Linked DNA regions of Sus scrofa. The protein of the gene in region 2 interacts with the protein of the main gene of each other region in a pairwise test. Links are inferred from orthologs where the notes say so. Each region holds a gene or a part of one and is shown on either strand. Other genes may lie near its edges.

Region 1 (4,273 bases), on a different chromosome or scaffold from region 2:
AAACCTGCTTGCAGCCAGGCAATTAGATAAAAAGATGTATATATCTACAGGAACTTCACCACCTGCAGAACTACTTAACCAGGTAATGCTGGGTAAAGGTGACTTTGGCAAGTTTTATTTTATTTATTTATTTATTTATTTTTTTGTCTTGTTGTTGTTGCTATTTCTTGGGCCGCTCCCGCGGCATATGGAGGTTCCCAGGCTAGGGGTCGAATCGGAGCTGTAGCCACCGGCCTACGCCAGAGCCACAGCAACAAGGGATCCGAGCCGAGTCTGCGACCTACACCACAGCTCACGGCAACGCCGGATCGTTAACCCACTGAGCAAGGGCAGGGACCGAACCCGCAACCTCATGGTTCCTAGTCGGATTCGTTAACCACTGCGCCACGACGGGAACTCCGGCAAGTTTTAAACAATAAGTCAATTCATTTTGAGCTGGTAACTGGCCACTGATCAGCAGTCATCCAGTTTGAGAACTGTAGAAGGTGCTAGTGCCTCCCAGAATTCCCTGTCCAACAAGTAGGCCCTGAAGCTTAGGCGCAACGCAGCCTGCAAAAGTTCACTCCATTGTCTCAGCAGCCTCCTCACCGCCACTATCTGAAAGCTCCTCCCCAGTGGACTCCTCTTCTAGTAAACAGCTTCTTGTAACAGACTTCTGGATAGCTTCCCGCTCTCCTGGAGAAAGAGCATGGATTATTAAAGTCTCTGGAAGTGACCTCTCATTCAGCTGGAGGAGGTCAGTCACTGCTCAGTGGGCACGGGGCTAGCAGGGCTTACCTTCATCAGTGCAGTTCTGCAACAAAATCAACAGCTGTCTCCTATTGTACTGAATGAGGAACTTCTGACATGTTCTAATTGTACCTGACACAAGAAAGAGCTTTGCAGTCAACAGCTCGCAAAAGGTGTTTGCCTCAGAGTCTTGCAGAGCTAGGAAAAATTATCTTGCTCTTGGCAAGGTAGCAGGAGGACCCACCCACTATTGAAGACTGAACTCTGAACCTGTTTCCTATTGAAAATCAGCAGCCATAACACATGCACCCCTACCTCCCACGTGTAAGGTGTTAAAAAAACACGGATAACGGTGTCCTTTGTTCTCCAAGTATGTGATGAAGGGAAGAGCTGACCACACGAGCCGATAGAATTCCTTCCGGCATCGAAGTAGCACTATTCCGGTATAGGCATTGAGGTATCGCACTGCAGCAGGAAAAAAATCATTTTGGGAAAATGGATTCTCAGGAGCACGTTTAAAATCTTAGGGTAGAAGTTCCTGTCATGGCGTAGCGGAAACAAATCTGACTAGGAACCATGAGGTTGCTGGTTCGATCCCTGGCCTTGCTCAGTGGGTTAAGGAACTGGCGTTGCCATGAGCTATGGTGTAGACTGTGGCTGTGGTGTAAGCTGGCAGCTGTAGCTTCGATTCGACCCCTAGCCTGGGAACCTCCACATGCTGTGGGTGCAGCCCTAAAAAAAGCAAAAAAAAAAAAAAATCTTCAGGTAACTGAGAGCCTATGTACCAGAAAACATTCAAGGCGGTGGCACTTGGGATGCCATCAATGAGTAAAAACTGATTTCTGAAGGAAAATAATGGGAGATAAATAACATCTAGGGCCTTTACATACCACTCAGAATTGGTGAATGAATTTAGAATTTAATTTTTTGCTTTTTAGGGCCACACCCATGGCATATGGAAGTTCCAAGGCTAGAGGTTGAATCAGCTAAAGCTGCAGGCCTATGTCACAGCTACAGCAACTCGGGATCGAAGCTGCCTCTGCCACCTACACAGCTCAGGGCAACCTTGAGTCCTTAACCCACTGAGAGAGGCCAGAGGTCTAATATGCATCCTCCTGTATCCTAGTCAGGTTCCTTAACTGCTGAGCCACAAAGGGAACTCCTAAAATGCACTTTTAATTCACAAACTAGTTAACCCAAGGAGGGGGGTGGCAGAAATCCATACTCTTCAGAAGGATGTTTTCCCTTAGCTGAAAAACAAGTTCTGCAACTGGGCTATGTAGGTTCTTCCAGCAACCGAGTCTCACCTTGGTAGAAGGGTTGCCTCTAGGTACATTACCTTCTCCAGATTTCAATTTCAAGCATATGGTAAAAAACGGAATGAATTTACATAGTGTGGTTGTGGAGGAGGGTCCTCTCTTGCATTTACACATACACACAACTGTGTATTCTGTACTTCACAGGCCCCTATGCAGGGCTTTTCAGGGGTAATTCTGACAATGCTTTTTTCATATGATGTCAAAGTAACCCGTCAAATAACTTACTCGGAACTATACAAGTCTTTCCTCATTTAGTTTTCATCATCCTATTAAACTCAATCAAAAACCACACGTCAAATAGTATAGGGGTTTCTGCCGACTGGTATTTTCTGCCCACTGCCTACTGGTATTAGCTCTCCGCTTAAGTTTGGACTCAAGCAGACCTCAGGCTCGGGTTCTGAAACTCCTAAAAAGGACGACACCCTACATAAAATGGTGCACAGGGCTTGGCAGCTTCCAAGGTCGCCCGTGCCCCTTCTTTCTCCCTCCAATGGCCACTGCTCCCTCCAGATCCCGCCATCCTCCTGGTTCCCCAACACCCTCGCACCCGCGAAGCCGATGGAGGAGGCGGCCGCGCCGAAAGTTCCGTGCACGCGCGCGATCGTGTCCCGTACTAGGCCGCCCAGCACTCGGTCCTCCAGATTCAGACGGCAGCGGGGGTCCTCAGACACCACTTCGCAAAGCAGGTACCTGGGGCAGGCGAGAGGGCGGTGAGTGCTGGGCCGGGGCCAGGACCGCAGGGACAGGAATAAGGGTTGCTTACCTGTGCTTGAAGCGCACCATGTTCGTATCCGCCTCGGGCGTCCAGACACTCAAACCGGATGTCTGCCTTCTCGTCGGCGGCCAATGGGAAGTTGGCCTGGCAGCCACTCAGAGAGGGAGGCGGAACTAGAATGTAGGCGGAGCCCCGTGTCAGTCTCCTTTGAGCTCCGCCTCCCTCTGCCGAGCGCAGGCGTCCTGCTCATTTCTTCGCTTAGACTTTCAACTGAACCCGTTGTGATGAGTGGTTGTGCTCCACGCCAGAGTTTGCTGTTTAGGATGCAGCTGAGGCATTTGGAACCTCCAGGACGTTCCATTACCTTGCAACATAGTACCCAAGCTGGACGGTGGAACATTTGAGCACAAGACCTTGCACCCCCCAGGCCAGGGATTGATAGGGGAAATCGGACTCTTATTCTCAGTTTGGAGCTCGGTTTAATTTCTCCATACAGCCAAATATGTTATTACTGTTTAGGCCTTTCAATAACCTTATGGAGTTGGGTGTATTGGCTTGTTTTTTTTTGTTTGTTTTTTTGTTTTTTTGCAAAAACAATCCGTGGTCGTTATATTTTCTGGTTATTTTGGTTTGTTTTTTGTTTTTGTTTTTAAACAGAAAAGCACAAAGAAGCAAATAAAAATAAGTTATAATCCCAGCACCTAGAGAGAATAATTTATCATGTAGTGGATTTTCTTCCAACATTTTACCCCTGTTCCAGTGGTTTTCCAGGTGAAGTCCAGGAACCACTGGATTTTCCCAGATTCTTTTAGGGAGTCCCCCGAGGTCAAATTACTTTTGTAGTAACACTAAGGTGTTACTTGCTGTTTTCACTTTCTGAGTGGACAGTAAAGTTTTCCAGAGGCCAGTGACATGTGCTGACATTGCTCTGATGGCTAAGAGAATTGTGCATGGTGTTTTAAACATTTCTGTTTTAATAAACATAGTGAGTATCAATATATTTCACATAACAAAAGCTCTTTGGGATCCTCAATAATTTAGTAAGAATGGAAAGGGGCCCTGAGACAAAAAAGGTACGAGATGTACCTTCCACTGTATGATAATTTATATTTTCCATTTTCTTTTTAAGAATAGGATCATACTGTTTACTACTCTTCTTTCCCCTCACATTGAATATCTTTTTAAAAACTGAGGCATAACATACATAAAATGCATATTAAGTGCATAACTCAATGAATTTTTATATATGTATAAACTTTTGCAACCACTGCCCAGATTAAGAGATAGAACATTTCCAACACTCAGGAAGGTTCCTGTGCTCTCTTCCGAGCCAAAAACCTTCCCAGAAGTAGCCTATATTCTGACTTCTGTCATGACAGATTAGCTTTTTCTCTTCTGGAACTTTATATAAATGTAAATCTCCAGCAGCATATTTGTGTGTGTGTGCGTGCATGTCTGGCTCCTTTCTTTCAACATAATGTCTGTAAGATTCATTCTTGTCATTTGACTA
Region 2 (3,648 bases):
AAATAAAAGTTAATGAGACATTTTAAAAGGCATTACAATTTTATGATGCTGATTTATTTTGAAAAATGGCAAGGATAAATTTCAGTTTAATATACTGAAATAAATTTCCTATCTTCATTTTGAAATTTCAACAAAAAGAAATATGTTATTAAGTAGTGAAATATGTAAATATAAATATATAATATTTGGTATGCTTCTAATTAAGAGTTTCTCTTTTTTAAAATACTGGTCTTGGTTTACTAGTGGTCTGAGAAATTTGGTCAGTATATTATTATTGTCACTGAATTACAGTAAATGAAAGGAATAATTGCTCCAAGTCAGCACTAGTTCAAATATGATTTGACATAAACTAATGTTAACAAAAATAATTACAACCATGAATCTATATTATTATATTAAGTATTATAATGAGTGAATTGGTTTGACATCCCTACAGAACACTTACTAAAATGTGTTTTTCCACAGCTGAAAGTGGTATACATTTAATATTATATGGTCTTTTTTCAGTCAATAGCAGTTAACTTAGTTGGTATAATGAAACCCCTTCAGTAGATTAAATGGATGGTTCATAAAAAGACAATTTATGATCTGTAACTCTATAAAAGGAAATGGAAAAAAAATGGGAGTAGTTAATATCATGAAGGTAAAATGTTATCTAAGATCATTTACACCAGAAACTCTTTGATAATAAAAATGGGTAATCTTATACAACCACAGAACTTTATTAATTTGTAGATTAACCTGCATGTTTTGAGAATTTATTTTAAAGAAAATGTTCCACTTGCTAATCCTCAATATAGTTATGTTGCTATATTGAATAAAGTGATGGATGTACATACTGATAAGAAAGGTTTGCATTTACCAATTAATTTGTCTTTGCTATTTATATGGAAAGCTGCTTTTAATTCCTTTTTAAAGCTCTGGAATTACTGAGACTCTTTTCAGTGTTGTCTGTGAAGCTACTTTGTTTCTCTAAAACAGTTCATCACTTCTTTAGCAGTACCCCTTAGTGTATCTTGTACACACCAGTGATATGCCTGTCTCATTCACTGGCCTACGAAATCTTTAAGGACACAGATCATGTCTTATTCATAATATTTTATTTTTAGAACTTAAAATACTAACCACAGTAGGAAGTTAATTTATGTGTCAGATGTCATTTTGACAGCAAGTTACAGAAAACTCAACAGTCATAGCTTAAATAAATTTAGGTAATCATTCTCACACAGCAAGGAAACCAGGGGTATGGATTCTATCTTTCAGGCAGCAGCTCCATCATTACACAAAGCTTTTTTCATTCTTCTGTTTCACTATTTTTAATGTTACAGGGTGGCTGTTACATTTACCTTCTTGCAGAATCTTGTCTTTGATCAGGCAGGAGGAGAGCAGAAATAAAAGTGTTTCTCAGTCTGATGATTTCACATTTTTCTGAATGGGAGACTTCTCTAGCAGACTTCCCCTGACCTCTCATCAGTCCGAACCAGGTCACATGCTGCTTTAAACCTATTTATTATCTATTAGGAATGATGAATTAAATGGAGGTTATCCGAAAGGTTTAGACCAATCATAATTTAGCCCCTGGGATTGGAATAGGAGCTTATCCTTCCAAAGATCAATAGATTCTGCCTTCTACCTGAACAAATTGGGCTTTAGTTAGCAGGGGAAAAGGGACCATTGAGAAGTTAATGGACAATATATGTTGCAATAAATATTACCTGAAAAGAACTGGATATGTTGAAATGAATTATTCATGTCCTATGCTATCCCCCGCTGCATCTTTATATATTATTTGTATTTATTTGGCAAATTTAAATAGGAGAAATCTCTGTTTCTTTGAGGGTAATTACAAATGCAGAAATTCCTCTATATTTTTAGCTACAATGGGAAGGGAAATATACAATATTGAAAAAGACACATTGTTTTCATCAACTTCCTTTTTTAAATGTCGGTCTTGCTCTTATAATTGCAGGGGAAATTCGAATGCAATTATGTTCTCTGTCTTTTCTTAGGCCTGAAAAGATAAATATGAATTTAGATTCCATTCGTCGGTTAATTGAGGAAACACAAATCTTCCAGAGGCAGCAGTCATCAGTTAAACCAGCATGTGACCTGGTGGTGCCTGCCTCATCCCCCAGGGACACCTGTGGTCCCTATTTGCCACTTTATGGGCTGCAATCTCATGCCTATCACAACGTCTGTGCTCACTCATGCAACAGTAATGAATGGGATATTTGTGAGGAGCTTCGACTGCGGGAACTGGAGGAGGTCAAGGCCAGAGCTGCTCAGATGGAGAAGACCATGCGGTGGTGGTCAGACTGCACTGCCAACTGGAGAGAAAAGTGGAGTAAAGTTCGAGCTGAAAGGAACAGTGCCAGGGAGGAAGCAAGACAACTCAGGATAAAATTAGAGATGACCATGAAGGAACTGAGTACTCTGAAAAGGAAGCAAAATTTGTCACCTCAAAAGGAGGCTTTGGAAGCTAGAGTTATTCAGGACCTTAAGCTTCCTGGTTTCAGAGATGTGTCCTCTACACAGAGAGACTCAATTCAAATTGGTTCCAAAACCTGTGAGTCCATCAGAGAGTGTTTGGGAAAAAGAGAATTTCCTACCAAGGAGAACACAAAGAGTAAGGTCAGAAAAAATCCAGAGGAATCCAGAGATTTTTTGAATGCTATAGACAGTAATGAGGAGGGAAAGGAAAATAGCAAAACCAGTGGTTACTGTGTTTGTTTGTGTGGGCTGCCAGAACTAACTGCCCACAGACTGGGGGACTTCAGCAACAGAAATTCATTTTCTCAGAGTTCTAGAGGCTAGAAGTCTGAGGTGGGTCAAGGTGTCAGCAGGGCTAGTTTCCTTGGAGGCCTGTCTCCTTGGCTTACAGATAGCTGTCTTCTCCCTGTGTCTCCATATTGTCTTTGTGCATCTTTGTCCAGATTTCTTCTTCTTTTGTGGATGCCATCACTAGGCCCACACTAATTAAGCTCATCTTAACTTAATTACCTCTTAAAGACCCTATCTCCAAACACAGTCACATCCTGAGATATTTGGAGGGGGTTGGGACCTTAACATATGAATTTTAGGGGAGACACAAGTCAGCCTATGTTACTCATACTTTTAGCCAAAATTAACCCAGCATTTTTTAATGTTAAAAGAAAATATTTATGGAGATTTCTCTCCATTTACTCTAGTAAACCATTACTAAGAAATTATCCGTACAGTAGTTTAAACCTTTCCTGAAGGTTGGGACTCTGTCCTCACAATTAATCACTCAAAGATAGGTAACTTAGGCAAATATCTTTAGGGACTGCTTCACACTACCTACTCTTGGAATTTCTTGGTATACTTGAATCTTGAAGTTTCTGAGATTTCTGCACACAATAAAAAATTTTAAAACTTTAATCTAGCAGTTCATACACTTATCTATCAATGAAACACCCCTCCTCCCATATATATATATCTACAACTCATGGAATATACATTTGGAAACTAGGAATTTGTGTTCGCTCTTCAAGTAGAATTAGTTTATATTATTACCTCTTTCTAGTTAATTCTACCTCTACAACCATAAATCAATTAATACCTTGCTCTTCTATAATTGCATCTAAAATGTTAAGCCTTTCCATGATGTATGGGATTTATGGTAGATAC

Evidence for each region. The genes of interacting proteins can lie anywhere in the genome.
Region 1: the proteins of CCDC102B (region 2) and POP5 interact in binary tests that used the Homo sapiens proteins (3 or more experiments, as listed by UniProt). The two-hybrid records come from large-scale screens. The link is inferred for Sus scrofa from reciprocal best matches to the Homo sapiens genes CCDC102B and POP5.

The regions. Positions count from the first base shown.
Region 1 is NC_010456.5:40,522,992-40,527,264, forward strand, and holds POP5 (ribonuclease P/MRP protein subunit POP5), read right to left. Parts: upstream 2,944-4,273; 5' UTR 2,832-2,943; coding exon 2,812-2,831; intron 2,739-2,811; coding exon 2,596-2,738; intron 1,195-2,595; coding exon 1,045-1,194; intron 862-1,044; coding exon 778-861; intron 676-777; coding exon 560-675; 3' UTR 23-559; downstream 1-22. UniProt on the Homo sapiens protein: Component of ribonuclease P, a protein complex that generates mature tRNA molecules by cleaving their 5'-ends. Also a component of the MRP ribonuclease complex, which cleaves pre-rRNA sequences.
Region 2 is NC_010443.5:153,888,022-153,891,669, reverse strand, and holds part of CCDC102B (coiled-coil domain-containing protein 102B), read left to right. Parts: intron 1-2,009; 5' UTR 2,010-2,025; coding exon 2,026-2,631; intron 2,632-3,648. UniProt on the Homo sapiens protein: During interphase, forms fibers at the proximal ends of centrioles to maintain centrosome cohesion. During mitosis, dissociates from the centrosome following phosphorylation to allow centrosome separation. Contributes to CROCC/rootletin filament formation.